Oryzias latipes: one gene and its partners. The protein of the gene in region 3 interacts with the protein of the main gene of each other region in a pairwise test. Links are inferred from orthologs where the notes say so. Each region holds a gene or a part of one and is shown on either strand. Other genes may lie near its edges. The genes, in order: adarb1, lyar and prkra.

Evidence for each region.
Region 1: the proteins of prkra (region 3) and adarb1 interact in binary tests that used the Homo sapiens proteins (3 or more experiments, as listed by UniProt). The link is inferred for Oryzias latipes from reciprocal best matches to the Homo sapiens genes PRKRA and ADARB1.
Region 2: the proteins of prkra (region 3) and lyar interact in binary tests that used the Homo sapiens proteins (3 or more experiments, as listed by UniProt). The two-hybrid records come from large-scale screens. The link is inferred for Oryzias latipes from reciprocal best matches to the Homo sapiens genes PRKRA and LYAR.

Annotation. Positions count from the first base shown.
Region 1 is NC_019879.2:26,491,173-26,497,726, reverse strand, and holds the start of adarb1 (double-stranded RNA-specific editase 1), read left to right. Parts: upstream 1-2,464; 5' UTR 2,465-2,761; coding exon 2,762-2,861; intron 2,862-6,554. UniProt on the Homo sapiens protein: Catalyzes the hydrolytic deamination of adenosine to inosine in double-stranded RNA (dsRNA) referred to as A-to-I RNA editing.
Region 2 is NC_019863.2:16,777,379-16,783,906, forward strand, and holds the start of lyar (cell growth-regulating nucleolar protein), read left to right. Parts: upstream 1-2,948; 5' UTR 2,949-3,286; coding exon 3,287-3,408; intron 3,409-4,563; coding exon 4,564-4,678; intron 4,679-4,755; coding exon 4,756-4,863; intron 4,864-4,964; coding exon 4,965-5,045; intron 5,046-5,240; coding exon 5,241-5,544; intron 5,545-5,654; coding exon 5,655-5,723; intron 5,724-5,868; coding exon 5,869-5,954; intron 5,955-6,068; coding exon 6,069-6,206; 3' UTR 6,207-6,528. Other genes in the region: zbtb49 (zinc finger and BTB domain-containing protein 49), read right to left, coding at 1-143, 261-343, 585-658, 738-784, 899-2,007, 2,102-2,253. UniProt on the Homo sapiens protein: Plays a role in the maintenance of the appropriate processing of 47S/45S pre-rRNA to 32S/30S pre-rRNAs and their subsequent processing to produce 18S and 28S rRNAs. Also acts at the level of transcription regulation.
Region 3 is NC_019879.2:22,832,664-22,839,093, forward strand, and holds the start of prkra (interferon-inducible double-stranded RNA-dependent protein kinase activator A), read right to left. Parts: upstream 3,612-6,430; 5' UTR 3,416-3,611; coding exon 3,360-3,415; intron 2,327-3,359; coding exon 2,151-2,326; intron 1,648-2,150; coding exon 1,566-1,647; intron 1,390-1,565; coding exon 1,314-1,389; intron 1,097-1,313; coding exon 979-1,096; intron 901-978; coding exon 806-900; intron 719-805; coding exon 556-718; intron 1-555. Other genes in the region: protein FAM237A, read right to left, coding at 4,666-4,772. UniProt on the Homo sapiens protein: Activates EIF2AK2/PKR in the absence of double-stranded RNA (dsRNA), leading to phosphorylation of EIF2S1/EFI2-alpha and inhibition of translation and induction of apoptosis.

The DNA of each region.
Region 1 (6,554 bases), about 3.7 Mb from region 3:
TAAGAACATAATAATTGCAGGAAGCATAATGGAGGGAAACTTCATGGTTTACCTGATTGTGAGACTTTTCCATGCGGTCACTAAGGAGAAAGTGTCCCACTTTTGCACCAGCATAAGGAGTAACCATGCAGTGAAATGGCAACATAACAAGCTTACATGCATCGGAATTACACACATGAATGTCGGGGGCACAATTCCAAAAAGACACTTAAGTACGTAATAAAAGGCAGAAAAGTTTACTTGATGGAATCTATAACTGCAGAAAAGGTTTTTCTGTATGCGGTTATACAAAAGACGGAGAATATATACGATCAGAAATGTTTGATTCCAATGAGTTGAAGGGAGATGAGAATCCTGGTGATTGTCTTCTATAAAGGTTCAGTAACACAATCCGCTCCAATCTGATCTAAAGTCCATGGAAATCTCTCTGAAAACAAAGAAATTTATCCTGTCAGGAGTTAGTCAGAAAGATGGACCTCTGCGTGAATTCATATGCGTTTTGGTTCTTTCCCCGTTTACGGTTTGAATGTGACCGATTGAATTAGATCTGCTGCAAAAGGGTGGTCTGTCCGTAAAAAGGTTTGGTATTTGAAACAAGAGATTTGTGTCTGTAAAAACGTTTTGTATCTTAAAAAAAAGTGTTCCTCTGTTAAAAAAAATAAATAAAACAAAAGCATTTTGTACCTTTACTTAGAAATGTGTGAAATACGAGCCTTGATCGTTAAATAAGTTCTTTTGCTTCTTTTCACTGTGCTCCACTGCTGGGACCAGCCGATCAAATGCTTCATTCTACACCAAGGAGATGAGACGCAATATCGGAACAAATCAGAATTTCCTGAAACTAATAATGATCAACAATTGTTTCTTTTGTTGCATTGTTGACATGAATTACACCAGTGACCATGTTTTGGGTATTTTCCACTATTTCGTTCAACTCTTACAAGTGCAAAACATTTTAAGGACTTTTGCAACAAAGCCAACTTGACAACTGACTTCTCTATCCGGCTTCATTTACTCCAGAGGAAACCTGAAACTCAGCATCTTTACCTCACTGTACAGTTTTGTCCCTGATAATTATAAAATAGAGTATATAATAGGGCAAATGGACTGTTTATCACAAAGTGAAATAACCAGGTCTTTGTTCCTGAAGGTCAGAAATAAAATAAAAATACAAGACGATCCATTTTCTCCAAACCAAAGACCCAAAACAGAACCTGTATCAGGCAACTTGTTAGGAAGAAACCATTCAAATCGTTTAGTAAAATGAGTTTCACGACATTGAATATGTTAACCAGCCATCTGTATCTGTTCAACTTGCATCTTATTTATGTGTAGTTTGCAGTTTTTTCAGATTAACTAGAGCAGAATATCAAATCCAAAGTGTTAACTTGTGCCCACTCTGGAAATCTCCCCTTCTGTCTTTATTATAGTTTCTCCAACAAAAATGACGTTTTTGGTGTGTTTTGAACATGTCCTTTTCCCACGTTTTTGATGATGGAGGACACATAGAAAGAAATGGGAGATAAAAGTTGTACGTCTGGGAATTGTTTTCATTCAAATGGTGAATCGCGAGCAGACGATAAACAATGCTTAAATGTCAGAGCTAGCTCCCTTTTTCGCAACCGAAGGGGGAAGGGGGGGCGGGGTCGCTCTGCGCCAAAGAACGTCTCACATACACCAGTTAATTTCTGAGGAAAATGAAAAGGCATCCTCATCTGCTGCATGGCTCTTCCTTTTTTTTAAATCCCTCTGTGCTTCCCACCCTTCTGTTAAACAGCTTTTCTGTGTGTCTCAGATGACGATGTGACAGAGGTCAGTGAAAGTTTTTGTCCTTTACTTATCTGGAAACTATTCTTTCTGTGTCCAACAGGTTTCTCCCGTGACAGTCGTTGCAGAGCCAAAGGTGAGTTTTTTCCTTCTACTCCTTTCATTTTCAGTCATGTGTTTTTGTCTTTTTCTGTACTCCAAACAGCTTTGAAGTTTTCAAGGTTGTGTGAAATGTTTGTTTGTTTGTTTTTAAGCTATATCTTCATAATCGTAATTCATTTTCTGCCAAATACATGTTGTTACTATGTGTGGCCACCAGAGGGAGGCAGAGTGTTTCCTATCGGGTTGCGTCTCCATCATTGTAGTGACTTTTCAGGCTGAGTGTCCAACACCCCAAAAATACCCATTTTCTTGGTGTGCAAACTTGTAAATCTGATCTTAATGTGCTGTATGTGATACAGAAGGGGTTGAAGTTTCCACTGCAGAAGAAACATGACCACAAAAGAACCTTAGTGGTTGCTTGTTGCAGGAGGGAGCTGGGGGGGGGGGGAGGCTGCTTGCTTGTTGCAAAGGTCAGATACATTTCAGACAGGTGTAGGCTGCCTTTTCACATTTGTTCATTCTTATAAACCTGAAGGTATGACTCTCACTCCTTTCCAAGTCTCCTCCTTCCTCACCACCCCCTTCGCCTCCCCCTCTCCGACTCCTGATAGGGCAGACATGGAGTCAACGGAGGAGAGAAGCAGCGAGAGGAGGCGGTGAAGAGAGGGGAGGGATAGAAAAGGAGTTTGGATGTGAGGGTAGAAACAAAGAGAGGCTGCAGGTGTGTGGGGTCGATCTGTTGCTATCACCATGTGGTCGCACAGGAGGAACTTGTAGATCATTTAATTGGGATCACTGCAGGGGTTGAAGTTTTACCTGATCTTTCAAAAGCCTTTTACTTGATTTGTTTTGGGCGTTTTTTTTTGGGGGGGGTGTAAGTGGGCATCAAATCATGGCTCTTTTCAGCAACGAGGCGCAGAGTCTGGGCTCCTATTATTGTCTGATCCGACGCAAGTTCAAGAGGAGGCGGAAGAAGCGGTCGGAACGCAAAGGTAACCCACCAGTGGAAGTTATGAGGCTGCGGAGCAGCCGAGGCGGCTCAGGAGAAAGCCTCACTTCCCCCAAAGAAACATTGATCCTGCCTCAGGAAACATTTGAGTTTTTAATGCCTTCTTGTCAGGTGGCATCAGCAGACGGCTTTATTTGAGGAGAGTTCCAAGATTAAAGCTCTACAATGAAGTTTTCTGTTGGAAGATTTTTATTTTTTATCTGGCATAATCTGTCTGGGTAACAGCTTATTTAAATTTTTTTAAGTAAAAAAAATCTTCATTTAAGATTATGTATTGTATTTATTTTACAAAAACTATTTAGAAGCTGCATATTGTCCTTCAAAAAGATAAAACATGATTTTTTTAATAGATATTAAAATTTTCTGGCATCCATTTTTAATTTTTTGCAACTTTCTATATTCGCTTGTTAATGTACGATGCTTTTCGTTTTTCTAAGGAACTTTATAAATAAGACCCACTCTGATAATTTTTTTTTAACTTTCCAAACGTTCCCAGTGGTCTTTTGATTATGATTTAGCTGTTTTTAGTTCAAATAAAATAAAAACGGTGCTGTTTTTTGAGTCATAGTTTTTGCAGAGCGACGGTAGTTTATTAGAAATTCAAATCTGAGTAGTGGGCAGGTATCCTCCCCCTCTGATGCAAAATGTGTGGGTATAAATGGGATGGCATTTTTTAATCCTTTATCACAACAATTTAAAAAGAGAAATACTCAGAAATACAATGTTAAGCTTCAGTTTTTCAATATATGCCCTCCATTATCAGAACATGTTAAAAACACCATTTTCATTGGACCGGGTCTTTAACAGCTTTAGACAATCACCTTTTAATACACCTTTCTTTATAGAGTTGATTTTTTTAAAGAATTTTATAAAGAAACTTGACTTAAAGTGTCATTTCACACAGCTGTATCAATGTCTTCTGGACTTATGGTCTCATTGTTGTTCATTGTTCCATCTGAACTTTCAAACACTGTTATCCTGACTACTAAAGAAAGACTTTTTTGTCCAAAATAAAAAAGAAAGAAAGCTTAAATTCCCAAATAACTACAATTCCCAGAGCCCCACCTATTCCTTGATAAGTCCCAAATGTTCTTTGTAAAAACCAAGCGGAGTTCATTCAGGCACTTCTAAGAAGTCGGACTAATCACTACTTACTGACGTCGTCTGGCTCCAACATGGCGCCGTCTGTATCACAAGATAATGGCGACTTAATTGACGTCATGTGGTTGGAGCTGGAAGTTGCCGTGGTTACCAAGGGTGACGTCCCACTCAGTCCAGTTGTCATCTACAGTCAGTAGTCTGCGTTCACAACAAAGTGGGCTGAGAGCCTTTTATTCAGCTTTACCTGAATTTTTCTAATAAATATTTAAAAATAAATGTAGTAGTTAAAATACTGGGAAGCTAAAGAAAAAGTACTAGATAGTTACAGTTCTGTAACCCTTCTTTCCTGAACTTCTCCTAAAATGGTGCTTCGGCCGTGTGATGCGATACCCGTTCCTGGTATTTGATATGCGTTATCTTCCAGATCATTTTTAGTGCACTCTGTAATCTGGGTTTACGAAGTCATATTATCCTGCAAATCCCAGCAGCTCATTCAATTGGATTACTAGAAAAACGTGACAGATTTTTACTTTTATGATCAGTTTTGAACTTGTTAAAACGCCTTTAGTGGCAAACTTTTAAACCTATTTGTGAAAGCTTTGCTTCGAAATCCGACTTTTGATTAAAACACACTAAAATTAACAAAACTTCATTTTCAAATTGTTTTAATGACAAAGGTGTTTAATTTAGATTTTTCAGCTTTAAGCTCTTTTGTGGTCAAAACTGCAGATTTCTGGACTTTTCGGAGCAGTTAACCAGAACACAATCAGCGTTGATGTTCATTTAATGTGGTATTTGCTATTCAAATGTCTGTCTTAACATAGATATTCTGTAGCTTGTTGTATTAGATCTCATTTCATTATCTCTTTATTTGTAGATCACCTTTGATGCTTGACATAAAGATATATAAACATAGTTTTAACGATGAGAAGTCATAGAAAAACAAACTAAAAGCAGCAATCAAAAGACGAACATAAGATGGTAGAGAAAAACGGAGACAATTAGTTCATTTTTGACGTCTTCCTGCTTCTGATTACTTTTCATTCAAAGTACAATTAGGTCTTCTAAGGGTGATTCTCTACCACACCTACATATCCCAGCTGCTTACCGTGTTGTTTTTTCTTTGGTGCTGTAGTGATCTGGATTTATTTCGGCGTGCTGAGCCGCTTTAGAAATGCTGAACTCGAGCGCATCTCTTATAAATGCGCCAAGCCTTGACGCTCGCAGACGCTGCTTTCCAATGGGCCGTGCATGAAATATGGAAAATTGGGAAGAGGGGTCTTTTCTGCCGTGCCAGCACAATCTCCAAGATGAGCTTTTTGCAAGTTTATCAGAGGGCAGAAAGGGGATCCGCACTCCAGACAGCCTCAATCATTTGTTTAATGTTATTTAAAAATATTTCAGTGCTATTTTTATTTCAAAATTCTTAATTGAAACAAATCTTTTTAGATGTTGATTGTTTTGTGTTGAAGACTTTTATTCTTTTCGTTAGAGTCTCAGTTGTTGACTAAATAGATTTCCGGACCTGATTAGCATTCGTTGTCAGCATCTCTTAAAGGAAGTTAAATAGAAAACATTGTCATTACTTCTGAGAAAAACACTGTGGATTGGAAACAACACAAACACTTGAACTCTCTCTCTCCACCTCAGAAAGGAGTTGTTTTCCTGTCTTGGTGCAATTAGCTGTGATTAGCACGTTGCTGATGACAAACTGTCAGAGGGAGAGACGGGACGCAACGCAGAGGTGCGTTTACTGCCAGAGAGACACTTCGGAGCCCAGGAGACGGATGCATGCAGCGGTTTGTGGCGACCGCCTTTGTCACCGGGAGATGAACTTCATTACCGCAGATGCAAATGGATATCGAAATGTTCCGCCTTTGCAGCAGGCGACTCTGCTGCTTCCATGTCATAGGTGTCGATCCGAAGACGGTGATGAAAATTACAATTTTGTGTGCAAGTGTGCAACCTTTTCCAGCTGTGCAGAGGAGAAGCTAAATCCTGGTTGCAATGACTGTTTTTGTAATATTGCATGGCTGCTAATCTGGCCATGGCAACCCAGCCGACATTCATTCTCCCGCTGTCGGGCGTTGGCGCGCTCTCCTTCCCTCTGTCTGCTGTCACAACCTTTTTCATCGGACTGAAGCTTCCCGTCCGTCAGTCGTATCTCATCTTCTTGACGGCTGAAAGGGCACAAGGTGTGAAATGCAGCTCCGAGATGACAACATGTCGGTGCACCAACTGCACTAACTCACACGGTTCTTGCATTCTTGCACTGCATTTCATTTACAGACACCCCCACCCCCCTGAACAAGCTTCGCTCTCTTTAGCATCGCACTGCATCTCACCTGGTCTTGAATGGGACGCAGTGTAATGCTACAGACACAAATGAAATGTTCTTGAACGCACATTTAGCTCACAGTGTTCACACTGGACGAGCAGAGAGGGGCTTCTTTTTCCCTTTTCTCTAGTTTACTAGCGCATGTCCACCACCTACAGTTGGAAGAGACCTGGTGCAAAATGTTGAAGCAAATATCGATGTAAATCTCGCTAATCGTGCTCCAGGCTTTTTTTCCCC
Region 2 (6,528 bases), on a different chromosome or scaffold from region 3:
TGTTTTTTCCCCGGTATGACGGACCCTGTGCTTCAGAAGCTTTCTCTGGGTGTTGAAGGACTTGCCACACTGGTCACAGGTGTAAATCTTGTCCATTGTATGAGTCCTCTTGTGTTCCTTCAGATTGCCCAAATTGTTAAATCCTGAACAGAAAATCTAAAATTAAAAAACGGTACAGCTTTTAGAGCTCAGATTAAGTTGATTGATAATCCATCGGAACAAGTTTTAAGTGAAGCCTTTGACTGATAGAGATCACATACCTCGACCACATATGTCACACAGATGTGGCTTCTCTCCTGTGTGAACTACTTTGTGACGATTAACATCCCCCGCTGCAGTAAAGCTAAAAAAAAACAAACATTTGATTTTGTGCGAAAATCATAAAATGGCTAAAAAAAAAGGTATTTTATCTCCTTTTTCATAGAATTTTCTTTTAAACAATTTAGGATTCCTTTAGTTAGTTAGATTAAACCATCAAAAACAAATTTGTCTTCAAAATGAAAACAATTATATATGTAAAAAAAGCTTTTCAGTTGAAAAAAGGCAGCGTGAATTTAATATGCATTATAAAAGAAGTTTACTACCTTTTACCACATAATTCACAAATGTATGGCTTCTCTCCAGAGTGGCGCCTCAAATGAGTCTGTAAATTCCCTGCCTGCAACAGAAATGTAAATAATAATAATAACAATTTAAAAAAAAAACAGGCTGAGATTTGAAAAATAAAACACAATTACCTGTGAGAAGTTTTTCCCACAAATGCTGCACTGGAAAGGCTTTTCACCTGCAACAGATTAAGAAAAAAAGAACTATATCTCAAAAAATTGACTATTTATTTTAAGAGACTTCATGTAATAACAGGTCATTGGTGTCCAAATTCAGCAGAAACAGGTTATACCAGTATGTGAGCGCTTGTGCAGCTCCAGGTTACTTGGATGTTTGAAGATCTTCCCACAGACCCCACAGCAATACTGCTTGTGTCCTGGCTGCTGTGGAGGCTCTGGCAGAGACTTCAGATTTGGCTCATCTTGGCTTCCAGGCAGATTGGAGAGCTGGACCTCTGCTGACTCTGAAACCTCCTCTCTCCTTGCGCTGCTGATTTCAACGGGAGCTTCTGAGGTTTCTGTCTGCACCACTGATTCACCTTGATGGTGTTCTATGGGGCTGCTGATAACAGGTTCATTGACTGACTTGTTGCACATTTCCTCAAGAGCCTTTTGAGAGCGGAGGTAATTATATTTCTTCAGATACACCGCTTTCTTTGGGCGAACTGGCTTATTGCTCAGAGAATCAGCTAAATCTGTGTTAGGAGTGTTTAAATTGTCTGAGGGCATTAAAGAACGGACATCCTTTCCTGCCGATGCAGATGGTGGCTGAGAACTTAGTGGGTTTCCTGAAGTCACAGAGGTATCACTAGCTCTGGGGGTAATTCCGAGCTGACACGCTTGTTCCTCTGCCATCATCAAAGGGCCTGGGACTTGATTTGAAGCAGCATTGTTAGTCTGAATTGCACTTAGCTTGAAGTACTGCTTACTGTAGAAATTACGGAGCTTGTATCCATGGTGCAGAGGCTTTTCTGCAGACTGGGAGCTGCTAGACATGTCACAGTTAGAGCTGCTGTTGGGTAAAGAAACCGGCATTCTTCTAGTGTGTTCCGTATCACTGTATAAGTTAGGCCGTGGAGGTTCTGTGGGACAGTGCAGGTTAACATCGTGAGTCAGGCTGCTTCCCAGAAGGCAATCGTGCTCTGAGCCTAGCATTCCTGGGAGAGTGAAGGAATGCATTTCCACGGGTGGGGGGCAAGGTTTGAGGAAAGCATTACACAAATTCTGAACGTTTGGAACTTGTAAGTTCTGTGCTATGTCTAGAAGTGCCTGTACATTCTCTTGGTTAATGTCCAGGTGGGATGTATACATGTAGTCCAATATTTGGCCAATGCCACTGACATCTTGGATAACCAAGTTAAAGACGTCATTCTTCTGACTGGGAGAATTTTGGAACAAAGACCTGAAAAACAAATGTAAAAAATGGTCATATCTCTTAGGGTTCACAGCAACACCTCATGTGGATATTCTGTTGTCAAATAAATGCATAAAAGTACCTAAAGTAGGAACTAAAAGCAGCCAGAACGTTTTTGTGAGCTTTAAAACAGACTCCTTTAACCACCAGCATGCAGTCACAAAGCAGCCCTTGGATTCTTTGCTCCTGGAGCTGCTGTAGGAGGTAGGAGCTGTGGCTGGACAGGGTCTCCATTTATGATCACTCAGCTTCCCCCCTTTTCAAAGCGAAACACACAAAAATCACATTTAAAACAACAACAACAGCCTGAGTTTACACGACTCAAAAGTAAAAGTTGATTACGAGTCAAAAGTAAAAGTTGATTAAAGGGTTGAACTCTAGTAGTGAGCCACACACCGCAGTCCATGTATAAATATATATATATATTTTTTCAAAAATAACTGTCATGTAGCTCAAGAATCGCTACAAGACCGTCCATGCAAAAATTTGACCTGCTACTAAGCTAACAGCGTGGCTATTCGAGCCATTTACAATGACAACTAATAAATAAACAGCTGACCTGTCTTAATTATAAAGGTGTTTATTTATATATATTATTTTACTATTGTCGATATCCATTCAGAGGGGTCCCAAAATCATTGTGAAGTGTTTCGTCTTTTATTGGGATGACGGGTCACTCGCGCTTAATAACATTACGTAACTTCCTGGTACAACGCTTATTTTGTACCCCTCGTGGGAAAGAAATACATCTTATACTAAACCCCCAAACAGTGGGACTATATACATTTCTAAAGTGCTGTTGAAATCGTAAATATACCTCTTTGTAGTATAATTATTTTGTGTTATGAAATGTAAAAAAAGGTTTTCAGGAAGAAAAAAAAAGGTCTGCGGAACTGGTGTCTAGTTAAAATTTCTATACGGAGAATCAAGACTGTAGCTTCAAGGAATGTAATCACGTGTCTGTTCAAAAGTTTAGACGGGAGAAACTCAACCCGCACGTTTACGCTCAAATTAAAATTTTAAAGAGGTTAATTTAACGGGCTCTAATTTTTGGGTATTTTTAAAGACAATGAAGGTTTTGTTCTTTGTCATGCGTTTTTTATAACTTACTAGAAAAAACGTTAGCTTGCCGTAGGCAGGTCTCTAGTCAGTGCATTAATTGATGGTGTTTAAAGTGGTTTAACTTTCTGTCGTTTTGCTGGTTTAATCTACATATTGTCTTTATTAATTTAGAGAAAGGTTGCTTCTGTGGATAAAATTGATCAAAATGGTGTTCTTCACCTGCAATGCGTGTGGCGAGTCTCTGAAAAAAGCCCAGGTCGATAAACACGTGAACATCTGCCGTGGGTGTCAGGTGTTGTCCTGCATTGACTGCGGAAAAGATTTCTGGTAAGACCAATTGGGTTATTTCTAAACATTACAAAATATCGTCGGGAACAAGTTTGTTTTTCCTCCAACCGGTGCCATGGTACTAGGCTGCAGGTTACCGTAGTGCCCTGTAGGCTTACTTGATTTGTTTCTTTCTCTAAACTGATTTTGATTGCCTTGGGCTTCTTTTGCGTTGTCACGTGCCTGCTAGCCCTAATTTGACTATTTCCCACCACTTCTGGGTCTGAAGTGGGATACGGGTGCATCGATCAGCTGTTGTTGCTTGGCAACAACAAAATTCCACCAGAGAAGTGACCGGAGATCGAAGGAGAGGCTGAGGAGACTGGGGTCTCTTCAGAGTTTACAGGACTCTTAAGATTTTTTTTTATTGTGGCGAAGTCCTGGGGCGGTGGCGGATGCACTAACTGACATAGGAAGAGGATCAACAAACTGGTATGGAGATACGACTCCATTCTGGATGTCCCTTATAGAGTCTGTGACTGTGGAGGGTCACAGGACGATGTTACAGAAACTGAAATGCATCATGGACAATCCTCTTCATCATCATCCTCAGCATGAAACCATGGACTTCAACACCTTGTCACAGAATTTTCTTTCTGTTAGCTACTAGACTCTACAACACCTCATAGACACTGGATGTTGGAGCCAAATTCACAGTTTATATTTAATAGTTATTTTTGGAGCCAAATGCACTGTTTTGATTTAATAGTTAATTTAAATAATTATTGTTTGAACTTCCAATTAAAAACCCTACGTCACAGAGATGCTGTTAGTGAGACTCATTGTTGATTGAAGCCGGAGAAAGTTGGAAGCGATATCGTTTTTTGACTAAATTGTAGTGGCACTCTCTCTGCGTGTCTCACTCGCGTTTCAAATAACAGTTGCCGGACAGACGTCAAACGGTGGAACAAGAGAAAGACACAGAGAGAGTGCCACTACACTGGGGAATAATCACTGTTCTTCATTTTTAAGTGTATTTTTTAGTATTAGTTATTATCTATCTGCTGTTTTTTAATAGAGCTATGGTAACACGGAAATTTCCTTTTTGTGGGATCAATAAAGATTTATTCTCTTATACTCTATTCTAACGCATAATGAGCTCTGTGACTGACCAAGTAACGCATTCAATGTGACTCTTTTCTGCGTATTACCTAGGGACGACGACTATAAAAATCACACTAAGTGTATCAGTGAAGACCAGAAGTATGGGGGGAAAGGCTTCGAGGCCAAGGCAAACAAAGGCGATGTCAAACAACAGCAGTGGTTACAGGTAAACATCTTCCCAAGTTCGATTATATGTGAACATTTGTTTTTCTTTTGGATCCTGACTTGTGTCTTTTCCTGAAGAGAATCCATGAAGCCCTGAACAAATCAAGCATCAGTCCCAAGCTGAGAGATGTGCTCAGGCAAGTCAGTGCATACGACAATGTCCCCAGGAAGAAAGCCAAGTTTCAGGTTGGTGTTACCAAAACTTGTAAGAAGGGTTTAGGCTTTTACCAGGAAGATTATTAAAATGTGTATTTACTTATTACTGTTAATGTTTTTTCTTCTTTCAGAACTGGATGAAAAACAGTCTAAAAATATCCAACACAAGCCTACACGAGGAAGTGTGGAACATAATTGCTGCTGCCGTCGATGTAAGTAGCTGTTTTGTTTGTTAAAGTAAATATTACACTAAATTATTAGCTGGGGAGCCTAAGCTTTAATGGAAATCAATGGAAAATAATATTAATGTGATATTTAAGGGCTGGAAATGTATTAAGTGTTGTGTAATACCGTTCATTCTTTCACTGTACTGTTGTTTTGCTTATCTGTAATCTTTTGCACCCCAGGTTCCAGAAGATACACAGCAGCACATGGAGAAAGAAGCTGAAGTCCAAGCAAACACTAATGGAACTCAAACTCCGTTTGGCCACGAAGATGTGAAGAAAAACAAAAAGATGAACAAAAGAGAACGCAAAGAGGCCCGGCAGCAGAACAACGGAAAAGCTCCAAAACTATATGACGAACAAGTCACACAAGAGCAGAAAGAAAGCCAAACAGGGAAAAGGAAAAAGGATGGAAAAAGAAAACACAAAGAAGCAGAAGATGAAGAGCAAAACTGTGATGAAAATGAGATATCTGCCAAGAAAAGGAGTAAATAACATTTTTTTTTCTTATTACAACACTTTTTTGTTTGTTTGATAAAAAGGATGGTTTTTGTGTTTAAGGCCTGTGTTCCTGTTTTCTTTCAACCTTTTTTCCAGTTAAGGTTGCAGCAGAGGCTAATGATGCTGAGATGTCAAATGAGGCTGAAGATCAAGCTGTTCCTCTGGGTAAGTTAACTCTAGACTGACTTAACCCAGTGGGTTATGGTCCTTAAATGATTGTATTTTATTGGGAGTCCAGTAGAGGTCAGTCTTGTTCTTCATTATATGAAAATGTTAATTTGGTTGCTCATTTCTTTGGTTTTCCTTACAGGGAAATTCCACTGGAAGGAAACCATCATGGCGGTTCTCCGTAAAACACCTGACCAGGAACTGCCCATCAAAAGGCTCAAGAAGAAAGTGAGGCTTATAGATGATAGAGTTGTTTGTTTGCTGTTAGATTCCTGATCTAAAATATTTTCTTGCTAGTTGAATCTTGATTTTTGGTTAATCCCGGCTTTCTTTACATTTTAGGTTTTGGCAGCTTATTACTCTTTCACTGGCGAGAGGAATTTTAAAACAGAGGAACAACTGATTTCTACATTCAACAAAAAGATCAGCAAAAATCCGAAGTTTAGAGTTCTGAAAGACCAAGTGAAACTTGTCAATTAGATGCTCGTGTATTTTGTAAGATTTTAAAAATAAAATCATTGCAACTGTCGATAATTATTTTTTTTTTTTTACAGTAATGGCAAAGGTTCAAATTAGGGATGTCCAAATTCTGGCCTCGAGGGCCGGTGTCCCACATGTTTTCCAACCATCTTGCCATTAAAGCTCCTTTTTGGCTAAACTCACCTGATCTAGGTAATCAGCAGCAGATGAGGCAGGATTTCTGGAAAACTAGCAGGAGGCTGGCCCTGGAGGCCTGTATTAGGGGACCCTTGGTTTAAATGCTTCATAGTTCTTTGCTGAATGAATTGTTTTGCCCTGAGAT
Region 3 (6,430 bases):
CAATAATTATCACAAAAATGCATGTGAGATTGTGGAGGGGCTGTAGATCAATACAGACTATGAGTTTCTCCTTTTTTTTTTCATTTTTGGATGCTGGTGTGCCGCGGGATTTTTTTTAAGCTTAAAGTGTGCCGTGGCTCAGAAAAGGTTGAAAAACACTGGCTTAAGCATTTCCCCAATTCAATTTGAAATTGCTTCAATTTCTTGAATTCATCGAGACACTTCATAAGAGTTTTTACCATCCTAAAGGATGACTAGAACAGCAGTGGATGCAGTTTATTTTTCACAAACTCTTACTGCTTAGAGAAAAGTTTCAACAAAGCTTGATTTATAGAAACTTCACATGTATTCTGTGTGTTTCTAATTACTTCTTGTGTTAAAGTGACCACAAGCAGTGCATACCCCCCCCCCTCTTTGTGGCCCCTTCAAAATGTAAAAATGTGTCCTTTGTCCCAATCAAGTAATAAGTGCTAATTCCAACAGATACTTATTAAAAGGAGGTAAAAGTAAAGGCTAGCAGGTTGGGGTAAAGGGGGCATGTAGATATATACTCACCAATATCAAAGTATGTGACTTCAAAGCCTTGCTCCAAGGAAAGCTCCAACATCAACTGAATATAATCCATGTTGGGAATGCTCAGTGGGTTTCTCCTCAGCAGGTTTATCTTCTCTGCCGTGGAGCTTCTTATGGTGTCAAATCGGACGCTCGGCTTTGGATTCTAGGAAATCAAAAGACAGTGGAGAAAGAAACGTTTCCTGAAAAGCGGTGCAGAGATGTTTCTGCAGAGGACGGAGTCTCCACTGACCCATGTGACTTCTGAACATCCTGACAAACTCTGAAGCTTTGCCATCATTTTCTCTGCGGCAGCCTTCTTTGCTGCCTTTTTGGAATTCCCTGCAGCTGCAACACAAAACACAACTTTAGGAGAAAGAAAAAACTGAAACACGCAAGGATTTTTTCTTTTGTAAATGCTCATACCTTTTTCTGATAAAGACTCCAGTCTGCAGGTGACTGTAAACTCTCTGATGTGTGGGGGGCCGGTCTCCCGTAAAACTGTGTACTCAGGGAGACGCCAACCTCTCTGCAACGCCAACTCCTGCATGAAACAAAGAGGAGGAGAGAGGATTTCAACGCATACAAAAAAAATGATTGAGTTTTTAAGAAATTCATTGATATTTCTAAATGGGATTAGTAAAAACTCTTCTGTAGGTTTATCATTATGAATGTTCATAATTGCAATTATTTTAAGGCTCAAAAAACCTGATCAAATGTTCTACAATAAAAAAGGACAAAAGCAAAAAGAGACTGAGTACCTGGAGTAGTCCTACAGAATTAGGAAGATGGTTGTTTGTTTCGGCGGCGTTGCTTAGACCCGTCGCAGCAACATGTCTGTCGAGCATCAAAGATTCATCAATCATCACTTAAAATGAGTCACATTTCTGTATAAAGAATGTCTAAAACTACTTGTATATTTGGCTAAAGCAAACAAGGAAAACTTAAAGGAGATTATTTTGGACAAGCAAGAACCCAAATATGCGCCGGCTCACCAGTTCAGGTCTACTTACCCAGCTCCAGCGTCTGTGTACAGAATATTCAGAGCAGCCTCTGCAGCTTGGTGCTTCGCAGCTTTTTTACTGGGACCCTGGCCTGAAATAAAAACATATCAATCCACTTTATTCTCCAGATTTATCTCTGCACGCAACATCCTAATAAGCAGCATTTTATGAACAAGTGCATTTTATATGTACCCCTATATTGCTTATTTGAAATAAAAACAAGCGTTTTTAAAGTACGGTATATTTTTTCTCTGAAAACTATTTGACTAAAAAGCAGATGTGACCAGAATTGTTGTTTGCAGAGCTTGTGAACAAACAGCTCTCGCCGTCCCCAGACGACGTGTTTCAGCTCTTTTCACACACATTCAAAGGATTCAGATCAGGACTCAAAGTGGGTCACTTCAGAACAGTGAAGTAATTTTTTGACCGTGTGTTTTTGGTCATTGGGCTGTTGGAAGGCTGATAATCTGTGACTGTGATTAAGATTTCCAACACTACAGAACTCATGTTGCTGTATGAGATATAATCTTGATCTCGTTATTTCCTGCACAGATTTAAAGCAGAGCCGACCCAGACCATGACACTTTAGCATACCTACGCATGTGACGTCACCGACTGTCACGCTGAAGACAAAGCTGGGCTGGTGAGCCTGGCCTTCAGCCTTCTCCATCATGAACATGGGATGGTTCCCACTTTTGATCCCATACTCATGCAGGATTTGAATTGGAGTCTTCCCAGGGTTATTCCACAGAGGTTCAACTGGGTTTAGGCTGGTGAAAAACAAGTACACCAAAATATTAAAGAAGAATAGAAACTGAATCCCCAAGATAAAAATTTAGGCGTTCAGTATGACAGCAGAAAAACATTTCAACAGAATAAATGACCAACTTAACCCCTTGAGGACTACATTTATTTCCAGCTATAAAACAAATCACTTCTGTTTTAGCATCGAAGTGATTTGATGCACATTTGCATCAATGATGATGTCTCCAAAGTTGGACTGAATGCAGCAACTGTTAAAGACCCACTTCAAAACATTTGTGTTTTTGGTATTTTTAACATGTTCTTATGGGATTTTTCTGATGATGGAGGACAAATATAAAGAAAATTAAGCTTACATTTGTATTTCTGAGTATTTCTTTATACAAGTCGTTGTGAATCAGGAGCAGATGAAAAAATGCAATTGGAAAAAGAGCTTATTTGTGGTTGAGAGCCCGGCGCCGTCTCACTTCATGATCATCCAGCACATTCAGGACCGTGATGTGCTGGATCTTCATGAATCTCACTTCAATAGAAAATACCGCAATTTTATATATTTAAAAATAAATAAATAAACATGCTGAGTCTTTTGAAAGCACACCCCAAGAAAATTGATTCCTAGTTAGAGTTACCGTAATTCTTTTTAAACCTGCCAATTGCTAGGCTTAATGACTCCCGCCTATGTGACCATATAACAAAACTCGTGGGTTTTTTGTTGTTGTTTGTTTTGTTTGTTTTTTGCAATTCTCCTTTCGGCAAACAGACGCTATAAATCAAGCCTAAATGACTCATTTGGCTATTTAAAAACCCCTAAAGTCATGTAAAGAGATTTGAACTCTTACCCTTACTCTTATTATTCCAACTTTAATTTAGAGCACACAAAACCCCAAAGAATCAACGAAAAGAATCTTTCCAGAACCGTTTTTTTTTTAGCAAAAACCCATCGTACATAACTGCAGTGTTGTAAACAATATAAATGCAGTTTTCATTGGGTTGTAACAACAACAAAAAACATCTATAAACTGGTAATAACAAAGCACCAACCTCGGTTCAGCGGTAGCAGTCATCATGGCTGGTGTCTGATATCCTTCCTGAGACATTTTGAAAGGTCAGACTGACACCCGGATACTTATTGTTTTACCCTTAACTAAAACTCCAACACGATGGTTTGATGTAGAACCAGGACATTTGATCGCAGTTGGCTAAAACATAAGGGAATAATGTTTTCATTCCCTTTCCCTTTCACTCCCTACAGTTAGAGCGTCGCCGGAAGACAAAAAGAAAAGTCCGACATCAACATCCGGGTCAACGATGGGTCAATAATCCTAAACAACAAAAACATGTTAGTGCCCTCTAGTGGTGAAACCTTTTAAAAATTAAAAATAAAAAACTATTGATTGAACATAACAGAACCTCTGGACAGAACATAGAAGGAAAAAAAACGTAATTTCATCCCGATAGAATAAACACAGAACAGATATTGTACATAAATAAATAAATAAAATAAGCACAAATTTAGCAATACAAGGCTTTTTTAAGGTAATAATCGGCAGAATTGTATCTTGAATAACTTATTCAAACTGTTAAAGAATTAAAAGAAGAAAAAAAACAAATCTCGTTATGAGGGGTTTAATGGTCAACCAGATTACAAAATGTTATTTATTTTCCCATATACTTCAAATCCCATTTATTTCGAATTCTTTTGATGTGTTGTACATTTTTTCACACATAAGTGTGTTGACATGTTCTAACGCTTAACCAAAAATGTATAGAAAATGAATTTTCTTTTCAGCACTCTTTTTTTTATGCAGACTATAATAGATTTAGCAAGGCAGAAGATTTAATTACAAGAAAGTCTTTTTTTTGTTGTTTGGTAATAGGATTCCAAATGTTACATAGAGTCTGAGAACAGAGTCTTGGGTTTTAACCAGCTTTACCTGTCTAGTTTTAACTAGATTAGGATGCCTAATATAGTTTTAACTACACTAGAAAATTTGCATTTCTTCTGCTTAAACATCTTCTTCCTCTTATTTTCTCTAGTAACAAATGCACCCCATACAGTGGTTTCACAGCATATTTTTATTTGCACAGTCAAGAACATACAGTTAGGACAGGAAACATGCACCTTTTGAAAAGGATGTTTAGTGCATTAGATGGACTAACAATAAACATTCAAAAAATTAATTGTTACTGAATAAAAAGTGGAAAATTAGGATTTAACCTCAACTCATGGCATTTATCTGAAACATTTTGTAGATATTGCATAAAGAAGTAAAAAAAAAAAAACATTTAGTCTTGCATGGAGCGTTTTTATTTAAATAAAAGGCTGTCTATGTGGATTTCCCAGCAGTCATTTATCACGGTTTGTCTTCAGGGTTGTGATGTGTCCTCTGCGTCTGACTCTCACACTGATCCAAGCGCGGGAGTTCACACCCGAACTGTTGAATCGGAAGGACTCTGTGAGAGAAACACACACACACGCAGAGGTTCAGCCTTTATCCAGTAGCTAAAAATGCTTTCATTCAAGAAAGGATGATGTTTATTGTCATGGAACAGGCAGTCAACAGTTTTTGGCAGTCAATAAGGGTCAGATGTGAAAAATAAACTTTTTTTTCATGTAGATACTGAAGTGAAAGGAGATTTTCTATAAAAACGAGAAAACAAAACATTTCCTTCGCTCCTTCCGCTGTCATAGAACGACAACAAAGAACAGAGTTGAGGGAGGAACCCTCCCCAGAAAAACTAAAAGCCACTCTTGGGAGTGAAAACATGCCAGCTGCATAACAGAGAGTGTGTTATTTATGCCTCATAGTTCAAACATTACAACTGTATGAATGAATGAATGAATAGAAAAAGAAACGGTGGCTAATTTCATTAATGACAATTCCTCTGCTCCAAAATACTGATTTACTAAACACGCATTAAACATAAATAATGATTTATTTTTTTAAGAAGAGGATAAACAATGGTAAAACCTGAGAAATTATCTAAATACACAACTTTTCTAATGATTTTTGATAACGATTTCTTGGATTTTGATTTTTGAAGGGTTTTAACAAAGCGCTTGTGTGTTAAGTTAAAGTTAAATTAAAACAACAATTTACATACTGTGTGGGACCAATAGTTCTATGATCCTACAAATCAACTGACTTTTTCTTAGCTACCTCTGCAAAAAAAAAACATAAAAATGCCAAAACAGACTGATTTTACTAACATAAATCAAAGGGCTTTCTTTAAAAACTAATGTTAAAACAACACTGAAATACAACATTGGGCTCATTTGGGAAAAGTGGCAAAGAAAGCTGTGGGTCATTGTGAAAAAAATGATAAGATTTTTTTTTTACAATAATGTAAATATAAAAAGGGAAAATAGCAATGGCCCAAGAATGGAGCCTTGAGGGACTCCAGAGGTCAAAAGAGCAGTGGTAGAAAAAACCTCAACATTGTAACAGCAAATAAATGACAGTTGTGGATTAAGAAAGAAATTAAGTCATTAAATAAAGTATTAGATTAGATTGAAACACCACAATGTTGGGGATTAGAAACTGAAATCAACAGCTCGATTTCTGATACTACTGATAAACTTTTGCACAATTGCCTTTCTTGGTGCAATTTTGTGAGCATCATTGCGCCAAAGAAGAACAATGAACTTATCTGTAACGCACATCAAACCACGAACCACGGCAGAAGAACAGAACAGCCCTCTCTCCAAGGAAAGGCATCCTTCGTGTTTTTTATTTTTTTAACAAAACATTTTTGAACATTGAAAAAAAAACTAAATTCATTTTTTTGGGGGGAAATTAACCTAAATGTTGATTTAAAAAGGGCTAAAAATGCCAAAATCTGACACCTGCAATTTAACCTGCAATTCTTTTTTCTTTTTTTTTTTTTAAATAAAAGTGAACCCTGGATTAGGGAATATCAATATAAATAGTATGACAGGTTAATGTTTCATATCCTCAAAAGTAAGCAAAATCAGAGGTATATTATCTCCAGAAGGAGCTAAATGTTTTCATGTCAGAACAACTGCTGAAAGCTGAAGCTGATTGTACTAAAAACCATGAAAGAACCAGAGAAGAAGTTCAGCATGAGCACAAATGTTTTACACTTCAGAA